2 linked regions of the Pelodiscus sinensis genome follow. The protein of the gene in region 2 purifies or fractionates together with the protein of the main gene of each other region. This does not show direct contact. Links are inferred from orthologs where the notes say so. Each region holds a gene or a part of one and is shown on either strand. Other genes may lie near its edges.

Region 1 (12,696 bases), on a different chromosome or scaffold from region 2:
ATTTCCGTATTTGGTTTGGCACTCGTCTGTTAAATAGAAAATAGATGTTATTGTTTGACATTTTTTCCTTGATTCTGTTAAGGAAACCCCCCCCCCCCCAAATGTTGACACTAGAACTTGAAATCTCATAAATAAATGAACAAAAAATAAACTGGTCCGTCAGATGGGAGCACTCACTAGTTCAATGAGAGAGGATTTTTCTTATGACCATCTGACCTCTCCATTGGCAGCCGTCTTCTCGTTTCTTGCACACTCGAGCATTATTTTTGCACAGGTTTCCTCCTATCTCAAGGTGACTAAAGGTGTAGCCTCCATCAGAAGTTTCCTATGCCCCATCCACAACTCAAATCTCTATTTAATTCACCATGAACAAGTCCTTGGTTGAATTCTTGTTAAATGAAAATAAATCAGATGCTACTGGGATGATTAAATAGGCCAGATGCTCTTATCACAGTAGCTTTCTTTGGTTTAGAAATCAATATGCTCCAAACGATGTTACAGGAATTAATAAAAGCACATTAAGCCATTAAGGAGACCGAACAGACAAATCTTAAGGATTGTTTTTAAAATAAAAGACGTTATTTCCACAAGAGATCCACCTCTCATAACTGACCTCTCCTACTACCCGAAAGCAGCCACAGTGGTGTAGCCTGGTCCTATCTATACAGGCAGAGCCAAACCATGCCTTACATTTTTGGATCAAAGAGGGGGGGCCTCAGTTACTAAGTTCTAATAGATCTGGATAACTCGGACCTAGCAAGGAAGGATTCCTTAGACATAACGGATTAAAATGAATACCCATTTCTCCTCAGAAGCAAATCCATTTGTGATTACATATTACTTGGGGCACGTATTGGATTTTGGAGGATTCCTCAGGTCTTGTCAAAGCTTTGGAACTACAATTAAGTTTTCAGGTAAACTCACTCAATTTATATTGTCTGCACTACTGCCCAATACTAATCACATGTTCATTCAATACTATTGTCACATCTACTGCACCAGTCGTGACTTACCAGATAAGCCATCTTTGTTACCAAACTGATAGGATTAGAATTAAAATTTATTACGAGCCAAACAGCAAATTCTCAATATTTTGTTCTTCTACAGCACTTCTCATCAGAAAATACAAAAGGACTTCAAATAGTAAAAGCTCAACTCCCATATCAAGCCCCTTATACAAATTTCACAGATAAGAAATTTGAGGCACAAAGGTTATACTGCAAGTCAGTGTCAGACGCTATGTCTAAACTACAGGGTTTTGTTTGTTTGTTTTTTTAAAGTGGCCTTTTTTTAGAAAAATCTTCACCTGCGTCTAGACTGCCACCACGTTCTTTCGAAATTAAATCGAAAGAACGTGGCTTTTTTTGACAGCGGTAAACCTCATTTTACAAGGAAGAACGCCTTTTTTCGAAAGAGCTCTTTCGAAAAAAGGCGTTCTTGGCTGCAAACAGGGCTTTTTCGAAAAAGTTGTGGCTGTCTAGACTATCTCTTTCCAAAAAAGCTTTTTCAAAAGATTCTTTCGAAAGAGGCTTGTAGTCTAGACGTACCCAGAGAGAGAACTAGAATTCCATCCAAATTAGAGCACAGTCCATTTCAAGACTGCAATTACTGTAGCATAGAACGGGGAATGTTCTTTTACTATTTGGCAGTGTATAAATTCAGATTGGCGTACAGTTCTGATTAATCCTATTTCTCAATCCACTTGGCCTCTTAATTGCGTATGCTTTGTATTCACAATTAAAATTGCCCAAAGAAAGGACAGAATGAGCTCACTGCATTTTTGTGACATTAACCACAGCTCAGCAACCGTTTATAACGACTTACCATAAAATCCATATACTTGTGTTATCTGCCTGCTCTCATGATTCCCTCGCAAGAGTGTGATACGATCAGGCCATTTAGCTTTTAGTGCAAGAAGGTAGGTGAAAGTCTCCAGACTATAGTAACCTCTGTCTACAAAGTCACCCTGAAAATTTAAAATATATGGAAGAATAGTTTCAGGAGTGCAAACAGTAGTATCTCTATTTATAATTCTTTAATTTGCAGACGCCCATAAAGCACCATTGCTAAAAAATTCTGAGAACATCTTAAAGAAATGTTTAACTGGATATCTGAAATTTTACATTTTAAAAAAATTAACCATTGTTTTTGTGATTCTTATGTTCCCATTCATCCAAGAAATGTTTCAGGGTGTTCTTTTTAGCTCCTCATATTTAACTTTCCCTCTACTGCCAATGTAAGCTAGAGCTTTTAGATAGTAGGCTTTAAAAAAAAATGTATTTCCTTTTGTGTGAACCAGCATTACCTATTTCAAATTTTAATGGACAAAATAAAAGCCACACACATTAGCCAAGTGGAAGAGTAAATTTGGGAGTGAAAAGAAGTTTACATGCTAGAGAGTTAAAAATGGAAACTGAAAACTAGCAATGTAAAATCCTGGTTAATCAGTTAACTGGTTAAACATTACATTTAACTGGTTAAACGGGATCCCACGGTTGGGCTGGAGCAGCAGCCTTGCTCGCAGCATGGCAGGGCCCAGCTTTCCACAGTACGAGCTGCTCTGATGAGGCTGGAAAGGCCCCTGCCCAGGGTGTGGTGGGCCTGGCCACCAGTTAACCAGTAAGACACACTCAGTAAGGGTGATGCTTGCTGGTTAACTGGTGACATCCCTACTAAAAACAAAAACCAAAAGAAAGTTGAGGGTTTTGTTTTTAATCGGTGTAATTGTACAGGTGCTTTCCTTACACTTTTTTGAATGACCAACATCCAATATGTACATACCATAAATATGTAGTTTGTGTCAGGAACCTGACCTCCAGTTCTGAACAGTTCACACAAGTCATAAAACTGGGGGAAAAAAAGGTTTAAACATTAAGGCTTCTGTTATCATTGTTAGCTAAGAGTGTATTAGTACAATTAATTGGAATGTACCTAGGTTTAGGCAGAAATAATCTTTATTTTAAAAAAAAAAAGATAAAAATAGGTCTAAACAAGTTCCACTGTACAATTATGGGCTGAAGGGACATATTTCCCATTCATCCTCCTGGTGTTAAAAATCCACATTAACTGCCAAATTAAGAGAGCAGCTGCACACTGTGCTAATCCTGGATTCAATCCTGCAACCCCTTTGCATAAACATGCATCAGCTTCAAATGGGAGTTCCCTCCTCCTGGGACGAGGTCCCTATTAGCACTGAATAGTTCAGCAACTGCAGTCTAAGTAACAGCAGTTCACAGATGATCACTGAAAGTGAGGATCGTTCTGCAGCTCTTCTTATTCTGTGAGGTTGGCCTCCCAAAAGTACACTACGGGAAAATTATAAACAGTAGGTTTTCCTTCCACTGTGCAAAAGCAGTGCACACAGAATATTGCAAATTATTGAACGTTCAGTAGTTAGTTCTGCTTCCCCAACCACATATTTAAAATACTCCTCACCATCTACCTTTCTAAAAATGTTTGCAAGTGACAGACTGCTCTTCTCTAGGAATATAACATGCAAGCAGTTGCGCCACTTTACCTGTCCATGTATGTCTCCACAAACTGTAACTGGCGTAGATACTGGCTGTACATTTGACTCTTCAAGCAGCAGGTCACACACATAATCACATAAGCGCTACAGAAAAAGAAGTTTACACTGATCAGGCTGAGGTTTTTGTGCATTGTAATATCAAGAAATAACAGATTTATAAATTATTTGCTTTAGAATGTATTCAAGTCTCTAGACACCATGATCATGATCAAATGAATTGGGATCAATGTTCCCTCTAATTTTTTCTATCTATGTGTGGATTTTTTTCATTAATGTGCAGAATAAAATTTGTATGGGCTCCCAGGCATGTGCAAATTTAACATCCCTTAGTGCACAGCACATGTAATTGACATGTGTAACCACTGAAATGTTCAGTGGTTACACACAGGGCAGCAGCCAGCGCGCCAGGAGGCAGCATAGGGTGGTAGGTGGCTCTCTGGGAGTTGACTTAAGCCGCTCCCTGCGCATACCTGTTCCCCCCACCACCCTATGCTGCTGTCTCTGATAGAGGCAGCAGTGCAGGGCAGCAAGCAGCTCCCCAGAATCCAGACTGGGAGCTATGTGCAGTCATTTGGATTACCTGTTAAAACACATACACTCTTACAATCTTAATGTGCACCACTGATAGAAACAAAACCTAGGCATGAGCGCTCTGCTAGTCAGCTGGGCAACATATTAATCACCCCTGAGCAGATGCACATGCACATCATACAGGGAACACTGCTTGGGATGATAATAAATATGTAAGAAAATCCGTTACTAGCTAAACATTTTTTTAAAATTAAGTGTGTCTCAATGAATAGAGCAACAGTTCACAGAATGAGTGCATCTTAGGTTATTTAAATGCTATATTAAATTGCAGTTTTGCTCTAAAATTTGAAAGTCAGATTGCCACTTTATTTCATGTTTATTTTATCAATGGTTTCTGTATTAGATATGCTCAGCTAACAAGGAAAAAAGTTAATTTCCATCTGCAAAACTGCAAAACCTAAAACTCATCCTGAGATCAGAGACTCAAACTGGATTCTTTCCTGCTCACTCACCGATCAATAACTAAAGTCTCACTTACGCCTGTGCAACCCCATGAACAGTGCCATGTTCTTCACAGGTGGTTCACAGGTATAGCTCACTAAAACTTAGAAAACAATTCCACTGATGATGTACAAAAAAGAAAAGAATCCCCCTCACACATTCAGGCATGCTGACTCCACTAACTCGTAGAGGGAAAGAGTACCGCATACTTATTTTTGCAGGACTCTCAATATACAATGATTAATGGATCAGTTCACTTTTAATGGTCTCCCGCAGTGTTTATCTACTACTTATGTTAAACAAGCTGTTCCCACCTACTTGTTAACTGTGACACTGTGGGCTTGTAGGCATTACCACTGGTGTTGGTATAATTTGTGTCGCTGGGGGTATGAACAACATGTGATATAAGTTACACTGTAAGATGTACTTAGGTTTAAGTACCCATTCTCCAGATACTTAATGATGCTCTGTGTCACACACCCTTCCCTTTTTCTTTTTTTCTCCCCCCCTCCTATTTATTTCAAGTTTTCATATCCCCTACTCATAACTCCAGTCATCTGAAGAAGTGGGCTGTGCCCACGAAAGCTCATGATCCCATCAACATGTTGTGTTAGCCTATAAAGTGCTACCAGACCATTTGTTGTTTTTTTCTGTAACAGACTAACTCAGCTACCCCCTGAAGCTCTTGTAAGCACCAGTGTGGTTTTATTATGCCACCTCTCCCATTAACATCACAGTATCCTCACCAGAGGTACTACAGTTGCATAGCTGCAATAGTGCAGCTATCCCATTGTAGAGATTTTAGTAGCCCTCTGAGTATTTTTCCCAGATCTGAAGAAAAAAAAAAGCATCTGCAGAACAAAAACTACTGTCTTTTACCATAATAACAGCCCTACTGGGTCAAACCAAAGGTTCATTTAGCCCACTATCACATCTTCTGACTACAGCCAGTGGCCAGGTGAATTCAGTGGGAACAGACAGTAACATAATCATCTGAAAAAGTGGGTTGTGCCCACAAAAGCTCATGATACCATCTACAGGTTTTGTTAGTCTATAAAGTGCTGCAAGACTATTTGTTAAGTTTACTCATAATCATTGAACAATCCATCTCCTGTTGTTCATTCCCAGCTTCTGGCAAACAGAGGCTAAGGGCACCATTCCTGACTACCCTGGCTAACAGCCATTGATGGACCTGTCCTCCTAAACTTTGAACCATTATCACCTTCGCCTGCACAACACCCTCTGGCAAGGAGTTCCACAGGTTGTGTATAAAAATACTCCCTTTTGTCTTAAACCTGCTGCCTATCAGTTCCTGTGGTGGCCGCTGGTTCTTGCCTGGGAGTAAGTGACGCTTCCCTGGGGGCTCCGCTGTCAGTCTGGCGGTGCAGACTCGGGGTCCCGCAGCGCGTTCCCAAGCTGAAGAGCCCCCGTCCGCTCGGGCTCCCCGCCGGCCCCGCTTCCTTGCACCCTGGGGAGCTGCCGGTCTCTCTCCAGGGCGGGGCCAGCGCGTTGCTGCCCGGGGCAGGCCGGCCGGGGAGGCGCCTCCCGCAGCCCGCGGGGCCCCGCCCGCGCTCACCTTGAGGTCGTTCTCGGGCAGGTACTTGCAGAGCCGCGCGATCTCAACGTACTTATCCAGGTCCAGAGGCGCCATCTTAGCCGAGCAGCCGGGGCCGGAAACGGGAGCCGGCGACTTCCGGGGGCGGCCGAGCCCCACTACCGCGGCGACGGGCCGGAAACGAGGGGCACTTCCGGGGCGGGAGGCCGGAAGTCGGTCAGCCTGAGCGACCCGGGGGCCAGAAGCGGAAGCGCCCCGCCCCCACAGCCTTCCAGCGGGCAGGTGCCTTCGCCTCCGCGCCCCGCGCGCTCTGCCTCAGCCCCTGGCGCGCGGCGCAAAGCATGCCGGGAGCCGCGGGGCATGCCGGGCAGCGCGCTGGCCGCGCGGGGGGCGGGGCGGCGCTGTGAAGCGGCTCCGGGTTCCCCGCCCCGCGGCGGTGAGCGGGGGGGCCGGGCCGGGGGGGCCCAACGGGCCGGGGCCGATCCAGGCGGCCGCTCCTCCGCCTGCGCAGCGCCCGCCGGGGGGGGGCGATTCCCCTGCCCGCACTGGGGGGGGATCGGGGGGGGGCGGATTCCCCTGCCCGCACTGGGGGGGGGATCGGGGGGGGCGGATTCCCCTGCCCGCACTGGGGGGGGATCGGGGGGGGCGGATTCCCCTGCCCGCACTGGGGGGAGGATCGGGGGGGGGCAGATTCCCCTGCCCGCACTGGGGGGGGGATGGGGGGGGGCAGATTCCCCTGCCCGCACTGGGGGGAGGATCGGGGGGGGGGCAGATTCCCCTGCCCGCACTGGGGGGGGGATGGGGGGGGGCAGATTCCCCTGCCCGCACTGGGGGGAGGATCGGGGGGGGGCAGATTCCCCTGCCCGCACTGGGGGGGGGATGGGGGGGGGCAGATTCCCCTGCCCGCACTGGGGGGGGGATGGGGGGGGGGCAGATTCCCCTGCCCGCACTGGGGGGAGGATCGGGGGGGGGGCAGATTCCCCTGCCCGCACTGGGGGGGGGATGGGGGGGGCAGATTCCCCTGCCCGCACTGGGGGGGGATCGGGGGGGGGCAGATTCCCCTGCCCGCACTGGGGGGGGGGATGGGGGGGGCAGATTCCCCTGCCCGCACTGGGGGGGGATCGGGTGGGGCAGATTCCCCTGCCCGCACTGGGGGGAGGATCGGGGGGGGGGCAGATTCCCCTGCCCGCACTGGGGGGGGGATGGGGGGGGCAGATTCCCCTGCCCGCACTGGGGGGGGGATGGGGGGGGCAGATTCCCCTGCCCGCACTGGGGGGGGGGATCGGGGGGGGACAGATTCCCCTGCCCGCACTGGGGGGGATGGGGGCGCAGATTCCCCTGCCCGCACTGGGGGGGGGATCGGGGGGGGCAGATTCCCCTGCCCGCACTGGGGGGGGATCGGGGGGGGCAGATTCCCCTGCCCGCACTGGGGGGGATCGGGGGGCAGATTCCCCTGCCCGCACTGGGGGGGGATCGGGGGGGGCAGATTCCCCTGCCCGCACTGGGGGGGGATCGGGGGGGGCAGATTCCCCTGCCCGCACTGGGGGGGGATGGGGGGGCAGATTCCCCTGCCCGCACTGGGGGGGGGATCGGGGGGGGCAGATTCCCCTGCCCGCACTGGGGGGGGGATCGGGGGGGGCAGATTCCCCTGCCCGCACTGGGAGGGGATCGGGGGGGGGCAGATTCCCCTGCCCGCACTGGGAGGGGATCGGGGGGGGCAGATTCCCCTGCCCGCACTGGGGGGGGATCGGGGGGGCAGATTCCCCTGCCCGCACTGGGGGGGGATCGGGGGGGGCAGATTCCCCTGCCCGCACTGGGGGGGGCAGATTCCCCTGCCCGCACTGGGGGGGGGGATCGGGGGGGGCAGATTCCCCTGCCCGCACTGGGGGGGGGGATCGGGGGGGGCAGATTCCCCTGCCCGCACTGGGGGGGGGGATCGGGGGGGGCAGATTCCCCTGCCCGCACTGGGGGGGGGGATGGGGGGGGACAGATTCCCCTGCCCGCACTGGGGGGGGATCGGGGGGGGACAGATTCCCCTGCCCGCACTGGGGGGGGATGGGGGGGCAGATTCCCCTGCCCGCACTGGGAGGGGATCGGGGGGGCAGATTCCCCTGCCCGCACTGGGGGGGGATCGGGGGGGGCAGATTCCCCTGCCCGCACTGGAGGGGGGATCGGGGGGGGCAGATTCCCCTGCCCGCACTGGGGGGGGGGATGGGGGGGGACAGATTCCCCTGCCCGCACTGGGGGGGGATCGGGGGGGGGCAGATTCCCCTGCCCGCACTGGGGGGGGATCGGGGGGGGCAGATTCCCCTGCCCGCACTGGGGGGAGATGGGGGGGCAGATTCCCCTGCCCGCACTGGGGGGAGATGGGGGGGCAGATTCCCCTGCCCGCACTGGGGGGAGATGGGGGGGGCAGATTCCCCTGCCCGCACTGGGGGGGGATCGGGGGGGGCAGATTCCCCTGCCCGCACTGGGGGGGGATCGGGGGGGACAGATTCCCCTGCCCGCACTGGGGGGGGATGGGGGGGCAGATTCCCCTGCCTGCACTGGGAGGGGATCGGGGGGGCAGATTCCCCTGCCCGCACTGGGGGGAGATGGGGGGGACAGATTCCCCTGCCCGCACTGGGGGGGGGATCGGGGGGGGACAGATTCCCCTGCCCGCACTGGGGGGGGGGATCGGGGGGGGACAGATTCCCCTGCCCGCACTGGGGGGGATGGGGGCGCAGATTCCCCTGCCCGCACTGGGGGGGGATCGGGGGGGCAGATTCCCCTGCCCGCACTGGGGGGGGATCGGGGGGGGCAGATTCCCCTGCCCGCACGGGGGGGGGATGGGGGGGGACAGATTCCCCTGCCCGCACTGGGGGGGGGGATGGGGGGGGACAGATTCCCCTGCCCGCACTGGGGGGGGATCGGGGGGGGCAGATTCCCCTGCCCGCACTGGGAGGGGATCGGGGGGGGCAGATTCCCCTGCCCGCACTGGGGGGAGATGGGGGGGGGAGATTCCCCTGCCCGCACTGGGGGGGGATCGGGGGGGGACAGATTCCCCTGCCCGCACTGGGGGGGGATGGGGGGGCAGATTCCCCTGCCTGCACTGGGAGGGGATCGGGGGGGGGCAGATTCCCCTGCCCGCACTGGGGGGAGATGGGGGGGCAGATTCCCCTGCCCGCACTGGGGGGAGATGGGGGGGGCAGATTCCCCTGCCCGCACTGGGGGGGGAATCGGGGGGGCAGATTCCCCTGCCCGCACTGGGGGGAGATGGGGGGGACAGATTCCCCTGCCCGCACTGGGGGGGGGGATCGGGGGGGGACAGATTCCCCTGCCCGCACTGGGGGGGGATGGGGGCGCAGATTCCCCTGCCCGCACTGGGGGGGGATGGGGGCGCAGATTCCCCTGCCCGCACTGGCGGGGGGATCGGGGGGGCAGATTCCCCTGCCCGCACTGGGGGGGGGATCGGGGGGGCAGATTCCCCTGCCCGCACTGGCGGGGGGATCGGGGGGGCAGATTCCCCTGCCCGCACTGGGGGGGGGATCGGGGGGGGCAGATTCCCCTGCCCGCACTGGGGGGGAATCGGGGGGGGCAGATTCCCCTGCCCGCACTGGGGGGGAATCGGGGGGGGCAGATTCCCCTGCCCGCCCTGGGGGGGGAATCGGGGGGGGCGATTCCCCTGCCCGCACTGGGGGGGGATCGGGGGGGCAGATTCCCCTGCCCGCACTGGCGGGGGGATCGGGGGGGCCGATTCCCCTGCCCGCACTGGGGGGGGGATCGGGGGGGGCAGATTCCCCTGCCCGCACTGGCGGGGGGATCGGGGGGGCAGATTCCCCTGCCCGCACTGGGGGGGGGATCGGGGGGGGACAGATTCCCCTGCCCGCACTGGGGGGGGATGGGGGGGCAGATTCCCCTGCCTGCACTGGGAGGGGATCGGGGGGGGGCAGATTCCCCTGCCCGCACTGGGGGGAGATGGGGGGGCAGATTCCCCTGCCCGCACTGGGGGGAGATGGGGGGGGCAGATTGCCCTGCCCGCACTGGGGGGGGAATCGGGGGGGCAGATTCCCCTGCCCGCACTGGGGGGAGATGGGGGGGACAGATTCCCCTGCCCGCACTGGGGGGGGGGGATCGGGGGGGGACAGATTCCCCTGCCCGCACTGGGGGGGGATGGGGGCGCAGATTCCCCTGCCCGCACTGGGGGGGGATGGGGGCGCAGATTCCCCTGCCCGCACTGGGGGGGGATCGGGGGGGCAGATTCCCCTGCCCGCACTGGCGGGGGGATCGGGGGGGCAGATTCCCCTGCCCGCACTGGGGGGGGGGATCGGGGGGGCAGATTCCCCTGCCCGCACTGGCGGGGGGATCGGGGGGGCAGATTCCCCTGCCCGCACTGGGGGGGGGATCGGGGGGGGCAGATTCCCCTGCCCGCACTGGGGGGGAATCGGGGGGGGCAGATTCCCCTGCCCGCCCTGGGGGGGGGAATCGGGGGGGGCGATTCCCCTGCCCGCACTGGGGGGGGATCGGGGGGGCAGATTCCCCTGCCCGCACTGGCGGGGGGATCGGGGGGGCCGATTCCCCTGCCCGCACTGGGGGGGGGATCGGGGGGGGCAGATTCCCCTGCCCGCACTGGCGGGGGGATCGGGGGGGCAGATTCCCCTGCCCGCACTGGGGGGGGGATCGGGGGGGGCGATTCCCCTGCCCGCACTGGGGGGGGAATCGGGGGGGGCGATTCCCCTGCCCGCACTGGGGGGGGGAAATTGGGGGGGCGATTCCCCTGCCCGCACGGGGGGGGGGGAAATCGGGGGGGCGATTCCCCTGCCCGCAAGGGGGGGGGATCGGGGGGGGGGAGATTTCCTGCAGGCCCCAGAGGGTTTTAATGTGACTCTGGCTTTGCTTCCTTTGCTCAAGACCCATGAGGCCGAAGGCCTTGCCAATTCTGGAGCCTGGAGATGTTCCCCAAAGGGGCACGTGGTCAGTACATCTGAGCATTTTCCCATTTCTCCTCAGCCTCTCCCATTACTGTCGTTTGTTATTGCGTTATGACCCCAGTTATCTCACTGGAGTCTGTGGGTCAGATTCCCCCATTAAACCCTGATAACCCATCCTCCTCCTAGCATTTTTGATGAGCCTATGGGTTCAGATCAGAGTGTGGGGACTGTATTCTAAACTCACTTTTCCCCTCATTCCCCTGGTCCAGGAGTGGTTCACACCCTTCTCCAGCACAGCACTTGTGTATTGATTGCACTACAAATATCCCTGTCCTTTCCTCCCCAAACTACTTTGTGCACTCCAGGCCTGATTCTCATGCCTGTGTTTCCCTGTTCTAGGTACAAGCTTGTCCCTCAAGGAGAAAGGCCTAATGCACGCGTTGGCCATAACTGCTTATATTTGCCTTCAGCCCCAACTGCTGGGAAAGGCCAAGTGGTCATTGTTGGGGGAGCAGACCCCAGTGGCAGTTTCTCTGATGCCCACATCATAGATCTGGGTAAGAGCAGGAAGCATTCAGCAGTTTTGTTGCCTATTATGCTGTCTGTCCTTGGAAACCAAAACGTCTGTTCTATCCTTGCTGTGTTTGAGGAAGAATGGATCAGATCCATGAAAACACTTCAGTGGGATAACAAAAGCTGTGATTAGGCCTAGAAGCAGTAACACGGTTAATTCCAGCAGATCCACACAACAAACTTACAGCTGCACTGTATCTGGTGACGATTATCAGTCTCATCTGGCAGGAGAACGCTTTCCTGTTAGGTTAGTAACTTCACCCTCTATGGTAGCTGTGTTGGTGGGATGGGAGACATTCTCCTCCCCCAACATAACACTATCCCCACTGGAGGTGAAAGTCAGCATAACTACATTGCTTGGGGATGTGGGTTTTTCACACCCAAGTGATATAGTTCTATGTAGACCAAGCCTTAAGTGTTACATCCTCTCCAGATGGATGAAGGGCTCAATCCTGCTGTTGCATGGGTCTGCATATGGTTGTGGATGTAACTGAAGGATCGGAGCCTAGAAGGGAATAAAGTTTCAAGTCTGCATTTTCTGGACTTGAATCTCATGTCTGTGATCTGAGCTATGGACAGCCACAGTCATTTAGTTGGGGGATGAGAGAGGTGAGCTAGGAAACATAATGATGAAAGATATTCTGTCACGTGTTTGTATGCTGGGGTGTATTTATGGGGACTCTTTCAAGTTTCAGTCTCCATACTCAATAGGGAGATTAAATTGTGTTTATTTTGGCAAACGTGTAACTACTGAATTTTGTAGTGGTTACATGTTTACATGCGGAGCCCGGGGCGGGGCGGCAGCATTACTGTAAACATCAGTGTTGTAAATGGAGCTCTGTAATTCCCTCCATTTCAGATAGACACCAATGGTCAATGCCTGGTTGGATGGGCCTGTTGCCTCGATACGAACATGCCACCTTCATTCCCACTAGCAGCCCCACTAGCCTCTGGGTGTTTGGAGGGGCTGACCAGTCTGGAAATAGAAACTGCATTCAAGTGCTGAATCTAGGTGAGTGTGTGGTAGAATCCACCCATCTCCAGTCTTCTCTTTCTTTGTTGGATTGTTGCACATGCACTTGTTATCCACCTGAGAA
Region 2 (12,110 bases):
CAGCATCCCATTGCATCCTTCCGTGATGCACAAGTTTGTGTTCACATTTGAAGGGAGACAGCTTACATTTACTAGAGTTTCCCAAGGCTTCCACAATGCCCCCTCCATATGCCATCATCATGTCTCGGCAGTGTGGAAGACCTTGAGGAACCGGGAAAGCATCCTACGCTATGTGGACAACATACTGATGGCCACTTCCACCAGAGAAGAGAACATAGAGGTCTTGGAGGAGGTTCTTGAGAAACTTGAGAGCAGTGGGTTTTTGATAAATCCAACAAAAGCCCAACTAGTCAAGGATACGATGACGTACCTGGGAGTCCGATTGAGCCCAGAGGTGAGGAGGCCAACAGATCAACAGCGGGTGGAACTGATATGCAAACTGCCAGTCCCTCGTGATGTGTTGGCTCTCCGCTCCTTCCTCGGTCTCACTGGATTTTCCAGGGAACTCATCGATAAATATGCAGAAAAGGCGAGACCACTATATCAGTTACTTAGGATGGGGCAAGAGTGTCAATGGAAAGAAAACCACCAGCAGGTTTTTTGTGACCTAGGGAGGCTTTAGCATCTGCACCAGCTTTAGCCTATCCTAGGCCCAAGTAACCCTTTTATCTGCAGCTAGGAACCTCCGGCCAGGGAATCAGCGCAGTTCTATTGCAAAATCAGGGAACTGGGCTGCAGCCTATGGCATATGGTTCCAGGGTGAGACACAGTTCAGTGCATGCAAATGGGAGGTGCTCACCCTAATTTGGGCACTTGGCCATTGGGAATACCTGGTGGGGATTTCCCCTGTGATCCTTTGGTAAGTCCTCCCTGGCCAGGTGAATGAGGGTCGAGTATCTTCCCCTAGACTGGCTAGCTGTACTCTCAGCCTTCTTAACTGAGACATCACAGTACAAAAATCACCGTAACTAAGTGTACTGCCTTCTGCACTCCTGATGGAGGACCAGGAACACAAATGTCCGCTCCCAGTCCCAGGTCTGGTCTTGGCATCGCCTTTCCAGTTGGAACCGAGCTCTGGTAGAGCCAAGGAACACGGATTGGATGGCAGCTGCTATTCCAGGGGGGTCACCTCAAGACAGGGTATGCTGCTTTCCAGACTTCCACTCAGCGAGTGCTGCAGGGGACAGTGAGATCCCATTTGGCACAAGCTGCCGAGTTGGTGACAATAGTAGCAAGCACATCTGCATTTGCTCTGACTCAGAATGGGGAGTGAGAGCACTTACTTCCTGGATGCCAGTCTGGAAGCAGCAGAGCATGAGGTCAGCCGATGGGAAACCCATTAAATATGTTGTGTACTTACATCATGCCTGGGAATTGGCCTCCGACTGTGAGGGGGAGACCTTCCTGTGTAAGGTGAAGGCCCATCAAAAAGATTCCGCCGAGGCTTCCAGACTGAACCATCGGGCAGATATATTAGCAAAGGAGGCAGCACTTTGGGGAGAAGAGTTACTGTGGACTCTGACCCTGTCGCTCCTGGTGATGAGAGTCCAACCTGCACTTAATCTAGACACTCAGGTGAACATCAAGGAGCTGCAGAAAAAGGATTTAAGCATACAGGGCTCACTGGAAAGGAAGGAATGCAAGGGCTATGAAATCTTTAAGGACAAAAATGGTCTGGTTCTGGCCTAAAAGAAAAATTTGGAAGAGGCTTTTCCGGTCCTGATGCTTCCATCGTGTCTCCAAAAGGAGATGGTGACCCTGGCTCACCAACAGGGTCACTTTGGGCCAGAAAAGACTGCAGACAGAGTCCTCTGGGTGGCTTGGTGGCCAGAACTAACAAAGGACATAGCCTTGCATATCCATTCCTGTTTAAGTTGCACAGAAATCAACGCTGACAGCTGTGTTGTAAAAGGCCCACTACGCCACCACCTTGCAGAAGGACCTTGGTGTCGACTGCAGGTCGACTGCATTGGTCCCCTCCCTAACACATGTAGAGGCAAAAAGTTCTGTCTATTAGTGGTCGATGCCTTTACGAAATGGGTGGAGGCATACCCCACTCATAATTGTAGTGCTGCCATTACTGCCAGAGTCCTTTTGAACAAAACCTTTGCCAGGTTCGATCTCCCTCAGGTTATCGACTCAGATCAAGGACCACATTTTGAGGGTGAGGTGACCAACACCCTTTGCCAAGCCCTGGGAATCAGGCAGAGATTCCATGTGGCTGGTCATCCTCAGAGCTCCGGTCTTGTTGAGAGAACAAACTGGACTCTTAAGACGGCTCTGAGAAAGATCATATGTCACCAAGGCAAGGATTGGGACCTCAAACTCTCACTGGTCCTAATGGCGGTCAGATCAACTGTGGCGAGTCATGGCTTCATATCCCATGAGGTCATGACTGATAGAGCTATGAGGATACCTGACAAATATCAGCCTCGATTAGCAACAGACATATATGAACAAGATCTTAACTGATATTAGTGCCATCCAGTTCCAAATGGCCGTGCAGTTAAAATCAAATACAGGAGAGATGGATAAGAGGTTAGAACATGTAAGGCTGATAGAGTGGGAGGTCGGGGACCAAGTGCTATATAAATATTTCTCAGACCAAGGCCATGCACTCAGCCCATGGTGGGTAGGACCTGTCTGCATAGTTAACAAGGTTAGCCCTTGCATGTATCAGTTGGAAATACCTCTTAAGAAAGGAAAAAAAAATCTTAAATGGTTCCATTCTAGTCAGCTAAATGTCTGGAAGGGCGACGACAATCCCAATCATTAATCTGTGTCTTTCCTGTGTTTGTGCCGTGGGAGCATCATCAACACCATCTCATCAATCAGCATCTATTAAGTTTGTGTTATTTGTAAATAGTTATGTATTTTCCTGTATAGAAATCTTTGTTAATAATGGGAACCACTTCTTCTGTACCATGGAGGGGATAGAAGGTATACCTTCAGGCTGTGTCTAGACGGGCAAGTTTTTCCGCAAAAGCGGCTGCTTTTGCGGAAAAACTTGCCAGCTGTCTACACTGGCCGCTTGATTTTGCGCAAAAGCATTGACTTTCTACTGTCTGAAATCAGTGCTTCTTGCGCAAATACTCTGCTGCTCCCGTTAGGGCAAAAGCCCTTTTCCGGAAATGTTTTTGCGCAAGAGGGCCAGTGTAGACAGCTAAAAACTGTTTTGCGCAAAAAAGCCCCAATGGCGAAAATGGCGACCGGGGCTTTCTTGCACAAAACCGCGTCTAGTGCTTTTGCAGAAAAGTGTCCGTGCCAATCTAGATGCTCTTTTCCGCAAATGCTTTTAACGGAAAACTTTTCCGTTAAAAGCATTTGCGGAAAATCATGCCAGTCTAGACGTAGCCATATAGTTTGTACGATCATGTGGAGCCGGTGCACCTGGGGGCCAATCTAAGCATATTGCGTCAATTGGTACAGCATCCTGAGTTAAAAATGCATATTCAGCAGCTTGTGGAAAGGGGACAAGATGTGATGTTGAGAGTCCACCATTCCACTGAGCAAATTGAAAGAATTTTAAAAAGGCTTCTCCAGGCCTCCAGATACACACACTAGTGGGAGTTTCTATTTGTCAGCCCCACCGAAATCAGCAACCCATGGTATCTATTGATACCCTTTTGTTATAATTTTGTTTGTTCCATTTCTGTTGATAGTGGGTATAAGTGTAACCATTAGATGGATAAGGGTAAGGATTTGAAGGCTGGAGAATTGTAACCTAATATCATCCTGTAATAGGATGCCAGCATCAAATCTCTTGAGAGAGAGTTTCTTGCCGGCAAGGAGGGGAATGTAGGGTTAAAATTCTCTGAAATGCCATCTTGGGCACAGCCGCCATTTTGAGAGCCTAAACAACAACAGGGACTCCATTTTGGCCACCCTTCCCCTTCCTCCTTTTCCTGCCCTTTCTGTGTTCTGGTGGGAAATCCAGTAGACATATGATCATAATCTGCCCAGTAACAGCAGGTTACTTAAGGGCTGCCTCTGGCTTTGGAGTGCAGGAGTCATTCAGACGGGTATGCCAGGTCCACGCATAGTAGGCTTAGGGTTGTGGAAGGTACACTCGCATGCAAGGAGTGACATCCATCGTCACCCCTCTCTGGTCAGGACACACTTGCACCCACGACGGCACAGGGAGAAAGGGGTTTGTTAGGCCAAACAGATCCGGCCACAGGAGGATCCAACTGTTCCGATCCTGCTGTTCCAGATGTCTAAGATTGAATCTGGAATCCAGGCGCTGCCGTGAGGGTCCCGAGCTGCGAGACATGGTATTGTCCCGTGATATTCCTCCAGGTATTTGGGTCCCTACCTTAAGTCGCAGTCGAGACTGTTTTGTTCCATTTCCTGTGGTGGGGTCCTATCTTTTTCCTGGTTATAGTTATATTTACCTTGTTTACTGTTTAATAAATCCTTGTTAGTTTACCTCTACTGTCTGTCCTAGTCCTTGGGGAAGTCCTAATAACTCCCAATCATAGAATCATAGAATAATAGGACTGGAAGGGACCTCGAGAGGTCATCGAGTCCAGCCCCCCACCCTCAAGGCAGGACCAAGCTCCGTCTACACCATCCCTGACAGATGTCTATCTAACCTGTTCTTAAATATCTCCAGAGAGGGAGATTCCACCACATCCCTTGGCAATTTATTCCAATATTTGACCACCCTGACAGTTAGGAATTTTTTCCTAATGTCCAATCTAAACCTCCCCTGCTGCACTTTAAGCCCATTACTCCTTGTCCTGTCCTCAGAAACCAAGAGGAACAAATTTTCTCCTTCCTCCTTGTGACACCCTTTTAGATATTTGAAAACCGCTATCATGTCCCCCCTTAATCTTCTTTTTTCCAAACTAAACAAGCCCAGTTCATGAAGCCTGGCTTCATAGGTCATGTTCTCTAAACCTTTAATCATTCTTGTCGCTCTTCTCTGTACCCTTTCCAATTTCTCCACATCTTTCTTGAAATGTGGCGCCCAGAACTGGACACAGTACTCCAACTGAGGCCTAACTAGTGCAGAGTAGAGCGGCAGAATGACTTCACGAGTTTTGCTTACAACACACCTGTTGATACAACCTAGAATCATATTTGCTTTTTTTGCAACAGCATCACACTGTTGACTCATATTCAACTTGTGGTCCACTATGACCCCTAGATCCCTTTCCGCCATGCTCCTTCCTAGACAGTCGCTTCCCATCTTGTATGTATGGAACTGATTGTTCCTTCCTAAGTGGAGCACTTTGCATTTCTCTTTATTAAACCTCATCCTGTTTACCTCTGACCATTTCTCTAACTTGCTAAGGTCATTTTGAATTATGTCCCTCTCCTCCAAAGAAGTTGCAACCCCACCCAGTTTGGTATCATCTGCAAACTTAATAAGCGTACTCTCGATCCCAATATCTACATCATTGATGAAGATATTGAACAGTACGGGTCCCAAAACAGACCCTTGAGGAACTCCACTTGTTATCCCTTTCCAGCAGGATTTAGAACCGTTAACAACAACTCTCTGACTACGGTTACAATGATAGATGTGGGTTTGAGGATGGGCCTGAAAGCTAATTTAGTTTGAGATCACTAGTTCTCTGGCTAACAGGAGAGGGTTCAGCGGAAGGTGACCAAAATGATTAGGGGACTGGAGCATGTGACTTACAAGAAGAGACTGAGGGATTTGGGTTTATTTAGTCTGCAGAAGGGAAGAGTGAGGGAGTATTTGATAGCAGCCTTCAACTACCTGAAGAAGGGCTCCAGAGACGATAGAGAAAGGCTGTTCTCAGTGGTGGCAGATGACAAAGAGGAGCAGTGGTCTCAAGTTGCAGTGGAGCAAGTCTAGGTCTGCAGCAGGCTGAAGTGTACAAACACTGGAAAGCCAGAGTTGTCAGCCTTTAGATGAGTTCGACACATTTTCCTAGGGGTCTAGAAGAAACCAGGGCTGGGCCAAACTCCCTGATTATATTCATTCATTAATAAAATGTCTCCCATCCTTTCATTCTAAACACGGCTTTGTATGAGCAAAGTCTTCTCTGGGGCCATCTCCTGCCTTCACATCCCCGCTAGCGATGTTAGATATTGTGTAATTGAATAGCCGTGTAACTGTAGGAAATCTTAGCAGTTACTTGACTATTCTATAGTGCCCGGGGATGGGGCCAGCAGCCACTCTGCTCCCAGTCTCCGTCCTGAGGAGCCCCTTGCCACCTTATGCTGCTGCCTCAGTCCTTAAGGGTAGGGTGGGGGTCCAAGCTCCCCCGGGGACAGAGGTTCCTGCTGCAAAGCAGCTGCTGCATCCCCTGTTTCACCCACCAGGGGGGAGAGGCAAGCAGCACTGGGGAGCTGGTGCTAGGAAGATGTTTTTCCCTCAGCACCGGCTTCTGCCTGCCCCTGTAGGAGGCAGCAAGGTGGGCTATGTGGGAGCTGGTATGTGTGGAGGTATCTTGGCTCCAGCCTGCCCCTTGCCCTTCTCTATCAGAGGCAGATCAGGAAGCCCGATTTCAAGCTAGCTCCTCCTGGGCACCCACTCCCCCTGCATCTCGTACAGCAGCAGCAAGGGAGGGGAAACTAGATCCACCCAGTTGTGTAGCCGCCCACACAACGACATCCCTGATCCCCACCACACCTCCCCCCCCCCCCTCCTGGTTCCTTCTCCATCCTGCTTTCTTCTCGCCCCCCCCAGGAGAGCGCGGAGCAGCCGGGAAGCTGCGGGGCTGCTGAAGGCAGCGAGTGGAAGAGGCCGGGGAGGAAACACGCAGCTGTGAGAGGAACAAAGAGAATCCTGGCGGGGGGAGGCGGAGCCCAGATGTGAGCAGCGGCAGGAGCAGCGCTGGTGTTTTCCCCGTGCGGGGCGGGGAAGGAGGCGGCCGTGTCCGTGCCCAGCGCTCCCTGGGCGGGGTGATGTCAGTGGGGCTCGGCGTGTGCAGCCAGGACTTCCCGCAGCAGGCCGGCTCGGGGAGCCGCAGGCGCCTCTGCTCCGCCGCGCTCCCCTCTCCGGGCTGCAAGCTGCATGTGCCGCGGCAGGATGGCCGTGCTCAAACTCACCGAGCAGGTAGGAGCCGGGACCCCCGGGCTGGAGGAGGAGGCGGCGCCGGGGTGGGGAAGAAGCGCAGCAGCGGCGCTTTGCAGGCTCCGGGCTCAGCGCAGAACCGCTCGGGCTTGGTGGCGCCCCGCGCCTGCGGCTCTGCCCCGGGAGGAGCCAGGCGAATCCTGTGCTGCGTGGGAAATGCCCCGAAGAAAGGCGCTGCGTGGGGGTGCCCAGAGCAGAGGCTTTGTCACGGAGCCAGCCTGCGGGAGCGCACCCTTCCTCCGCAGCGCTGGGCTCCACTCCGGCGCCGCCTCGCTCTGTTTTTATTTCAGTGTTTACATTGGATCTGAGCAAGTGGGTCTGGCCCACGAAAGCTCCTCACCTAAGAAACCATCTTGTTAGTCTTTAAAGTGCTCCATGGTCCTGCATTTTATTTCAGTGGCGTGGCTCAAGGTAGAGGTCAGTGCCAAGCCCAGAGCAGAGGCAGATTCGGAAGCCGAGGCAGAAGGGTGACTTTTAAATGGACTAGCTGCATTTCCTCCTCCATCTAACGAATGGATTAATTATTGAGTTGTTGGAGTTAGTGGTGTAGGTTGCCTCTTCCTCCATACGCGCATCACACTTTGCAGCTGTGCGCGTGGTTGTTAATTGGCTGTTCAAACGCTGTCAGATTCCTAGTCACTTTTTAATCAGGATAATACAACCTCTCAAGTAGGTTTCCTTATACAAGGTTGTTTCAGAGGGAAAACACAACAAGTGTTTTTTTTTTTTAAGCCATTTAGGTGGTTTAACCAGTGATAGACCTCTTTTTGCATTCCTTGTTTGGACACCCCAAACTCCCACCGAAGTCAGCTGAAATGCAGCATCAGATTTGAAAGCCACAAGCTTGCTCCTGTGAATCCAAGTTGAAATCCGGGGGGGACTCTATGTTCCTTTCCCACAAAGAATAGTTAGCAGAACTGGGGCCTATGTTTGTTACTTAGGTGAACCTAGGGTTCTATATGGAAAAGCGTTTGTTGTTCATTTATTTTTTGAAAATGTTACTCATTGCTAAGTTAGAGTTGATATATTGTCCAACTTTCAAGTCAAACTTGCCATTTTATAATTCTCAGAGTTGAGAGACAGGATAAAAATGGATATTGGCTATTTTTGAAAGGTCTCTAAGGTCTATTAACATTCTTTTAGGAATTCGGTGCTGTTTATTACTGTGATACATGGTAATTATTTTTCTAGTAGGCCTTTATGTTTAAAGAGTGCATTTTTGGTTTGGTTGCCATGATTGTTTGCAAGTTATTAGAAAATTGCAATATTCATCTGTCAGCTTATGTTAAAATGTTCACTTTAATAAAAGAGCAGCTATAATTTGTATTAAATTACTTTTTACCATTGATATATTTAGTAAAGTCATATTACGGTTCCCACAGCCTAATTTATCAATATATATTGTACCAACTGTTGCACATTTGCTTGTCTTAATCAGCTATTTTTAGTTTAACTTGGTCTCCTATAATCAGCAGTTACAGGCCCTTATTAAAATACCCCACCCTCACAAGCATACAGACATAAGTGTTTAACTATCTCCCTTGCTCATTTTATTTATGTATTTTGAGATAAATCTTCCACTAAAAATCCTGCCCCTGGCATTTGCCTTACAATTAACACAGATTTTTGAAAGGAAAAGAAACCCAAGCTACTTGTATAATAAAATTCACTAAATATTGGAAGATGACTGTATGAATGCATTTCCATAATTTAACAGAAGGCTAAATCTCCTGCAGAACCGAAAGTCTCCTGGCATGTCCCTTGATACACACACATCTTTGGATGTGGTGCTTACTGCAAATGAAGACAATGTTCCACACCGGGAGACTTAATTTTGCCCCATAGTGCAGAGAACAAGTCTCATAAATCAGAAGATTTGGGTGAAATCTGTAAATTGAAAGTATACGCTGCAGCATAATATTAAAAGTATTTGCACTATAGTTGGTACAGGTCATGTAGCATTTCTGTGCTTTATGCCTAAGCCTGAAATTATGTGTTTCATGAGGCTCTTGGAATTAAACCCCTAAAGGTTTAGCAATGGTTTTAAAGACGCCTCAACAAGGATCTTACTACATCACTGCTAGTAGAGCACAAAACAGTGGTTTGAGCCAAGTGAATTGCGTCTTGTGAAGTTTATATTGCAACAGAGAGAGCTGAGAAGTAGTGTGAACTTTTTTTATTGAATTAATTTCCCCTCTTCTTTCCCTCCCACACCTCTAACATTCCCCAGAGCTGATAGGTGAGATTTATCAGAACTGGCACGGTGACTTTGCAGTATGCCTTCTCATGGCAGCACGCTCTAAATACTCTCCAGTGCCAGTGGCATGATTCATCTGCTGTGTGGCTTCCGGGCATAGTATGGAGGCAGTGCTTCTTATGTTGGGGAGACCTCCTCCTGGTCATAGAGGTATCCATGCTCCTCCTGCTGGCACTCTGTGGCGTTTGGTGCAGCTGATCACCAGATATTCCTGTCTCCCTTGCATGAGGTTGCTGGAGAGAACAGGAGTGTCTCAAAATGGCGTAGAGTCTTTTTTTCTCTTTTTATTTAAGACTGATCTTAGGAAGTTGTTCTGAGCCATTAGTTCTTCATATCTAAAGCCCACCAAGGCTCATCCTTTCCCCCCATGTTATTCGGTATCTGTAACACAGCCAGCGGGAGGCTTTGCATGACAACACAACCTGAAGTGCCAGTAGCACGCAGAGGGTTGCCAGGCGCTAAATCCTCCTTTGCATCAAATATAAGCAGCACCTTGTCACAGTTTTCTCTGTGCCTACCAGGAAGCAGTACCTGGGAGAAGAGCAGTTAGCTAAAGTTGAATTATGGTAAGACTGAGGCAATGCTGGTAGGAAGAATGATGCACTTTGAAGTACTTACATCTTTATAACTTCTCCACTGCCTACTGTATGTGTCTTTGGATTTAGTTGGTCCACAGGCTATATTACTCTGGGTGTCCAGATAGCCATGACAGCAAAGCACACCAACTTTCATGGCACTCTGACTCCTGCATTTGTGATCTTCAGTGTTGATCTGATTGTGACAACTTGTTATATTTAGTAAGAAGCCCCACACCCTGTGGCAGCTGCAACGGATACAAAATACAGCAGCTTGTCTGTTTAGCAGCACAGGACAGTCACCTCAGCATGCTGCTCTCTGCGCATGCATGTAAAATCTGGATCAGGGTTTCCATGGCATGGGATTGCTTCCGTCTGCCTGAGAGACGTCTTCTCCCAACTCCCCCCATAAGTTTAACTTTCACTAACAAATGCCTTCCACTGGGATAATGAAACTGTGGACCCACAGGGTTTGAGAATGCGGGGGATAGTATACCTCCTCCTCTGTTACAGTTTTATGGTACTTAGCAGCAAAAGATGAAAGAAGTTGGGATAAGTAGTAAACATAAGTCTGATTCCAGTGACTTAGGTTTTCCTTGTTTTCTTCACATGTGCCTCTACTTGCTCTTGCCCTCTCACACATAGCAAGCAAACAAAGCAGGCAAACAAAAATCATCATAAACAAATGAATTTATTTTTCATACCGGGTCAGAAAAAAGGAAGAGATGGTTATTGCTGTTTTAAGATACTTGAGAAGTGCTAGGTCACTGTTGTGGTGGAACCAGAGAGTAGGTATACTTTATAAGCTGTCTTGATGGTATTTCTTAGGCAAGAAAGCTTAGTTTAAGACTACATCCTATCTGTTTCTGGTCAAACAAGTTACATGAGCTACTTTCTCACTAATGTCAATTGATAGATGGTCAGCTGGACCACATGGTAGCTTTTTAATCATTTGAACCAAAGGAAACGTGTTCAACCCTCATTCACTTGTGAAATCAATTCTTGTGTATCTATATTCCTTCTGTTCCTCACCCCCCATTTCAAAAATCGAATATGAATGAGTGATCAAAGTCGTCAGCTTAAATAAAATGAACAACCCCTGAACGTGATTAGACACTTAAGATTTCCACTTTGTTGACATTTCTGTATGAAGCAGTATTGAGTGACAGTGCTACTTACAGCCTTTCATATCGGTTCTAGATAATCCACTTGTTATATATGCAGTTTGTTTCCCCTACAGTGTGTGCCAATTCCAACAGGCCTGGTAACTCGAAGTGCCTTTAGACCTACAAATGAAAAGTGACATTTCAGCACAAAGTGGCTCTGCTTTTTATCCTCCTTTCTTTCCCCATGCAGTTTAAGGTCTGACCATTTAGCTTAGTATTTTATATTCAATGCAGCTGTGGCTATATGTAATAAGAGAATATGCACAGGAACTAAAGTTGAACATGAATGAAAAACTAATGTTTTGATAACTGGGTAGTCCTACACATTCAAACATGGGCTCTGTTCACCCAACTCAAATCAAGACGTGTGTGTGTGTGTAGGTAGGGGCTTAGGATATCCAATCAGATGGGTGGTTTTGGGGTGTTGTTCCCCCCCCCCACTCTCTCCAGGTTTCCAATATGCTATTTTTCTCCTTTTTCCCCTTGTGCCATAGCTATCACAAGAAGAATATGTTCCTGGGCTAGCTCTCTCCTGTGAGCTGGTCTTTTAACCAGGTTACTTGAACTACACAGTAGTTCTATCTGCCTGAGTGTCACTTCTGTTCTGTCACCCACGTCTCCTGAAGAGCAGTCCTAGTATTAATTACTCCCTGTCATACTTAACAAGTCTGTTTCTGTATAACTTTTTATTTTATTGGAGGAAGTTTGTTTATTTGTGAAAGTGATGGAGATGGAATGTAAATCTTCACCCGGAGACCTCTGTGGTAGAAACACTGGTGACCGTTACTGGGAGTGGTCCACTGAGAATGTGAAGCCCTTCTTAAGAGCATTTCTTTAACTCAAGAAAGTTTAAACATGTGGGAAATCGTTTTGTCAGAAATGCCGGTACCTCCTCCAGCTCATTTCTGTACCACCTGCTCAGGCCTCCATTGCAGAGCACTAGTAATAAAAGTCAAAAAGGATCTGCAGATGGTAAAGTTTAGTCCTGTTAAGCTAGAGGAAGCATTTAGCTTATTTTGTTTGATTTGGAATTGGGATGTCAGTTTTTTGCTTGAGGAGGGATGGTGTTCTCAGTGCTTAAGCTTACCATACCATGCTATTTCTGAACGCAAGGGTCA

The links.
Region 1: the proteins of ANKRD44 (region 2) and PPP6C purify together in Homo sapiens (affinity purification with mass spectrometry; 5 studies listed by BioGRID and IntAct, counting the BioPlex papers as one, with this or other methods). This does not show direct contact. The link is inferred for Pelodiscus sinensis from reciprocal best matches to the Homo sapiens genes ANKRD44 and PPP6C.

The regions. Positions count from the first base shown.
Region 1 is NC_134732.1:25,001,717-25,014,412, forward strand, and holds the start of PPP6C (serine/threonine-protein phosphatase 6 catalytic subunit), read right to left. Parts: upstream 6,273-12,696; 5' UTR 6,213-6,272; coding exon 6,138-6,212; intron 6,100-6,137; exon of another isoform or gene 5,897-6,099; intron 3,614-5,896; coding exon 3,518-3,613; intron 2,848-3,517; coding exon 2,782-2,847; intron 1,967-2,781; coding exon 1,825-1,966; intron 27-1,824; coding exon 1-26. Other genes in the region: RABEPK (rab9 effector protein with kelch motifs), read left to right, coding at 11,011-11,069, 11,426-11,583, 12,459-12,611.
Region 2 is NC_134717.1:71,359,537-71,371,646, reverse strand, and holds the start of ANKRD44 (serine/threonine-protein phosphatase 6 regulatory ankyrin repeat subunit B), read left to right. Parts: upstream 1-6,752; 5' UTR 6,753-6,934; coding exon 6,935-6,976; intron 6,977-12,110. UniProt on the Homo sapiens protein: Putative regulatory subunit of protein phosphatase 6 (PP6) that may be involved in the recognition of phosphoprotein substrates.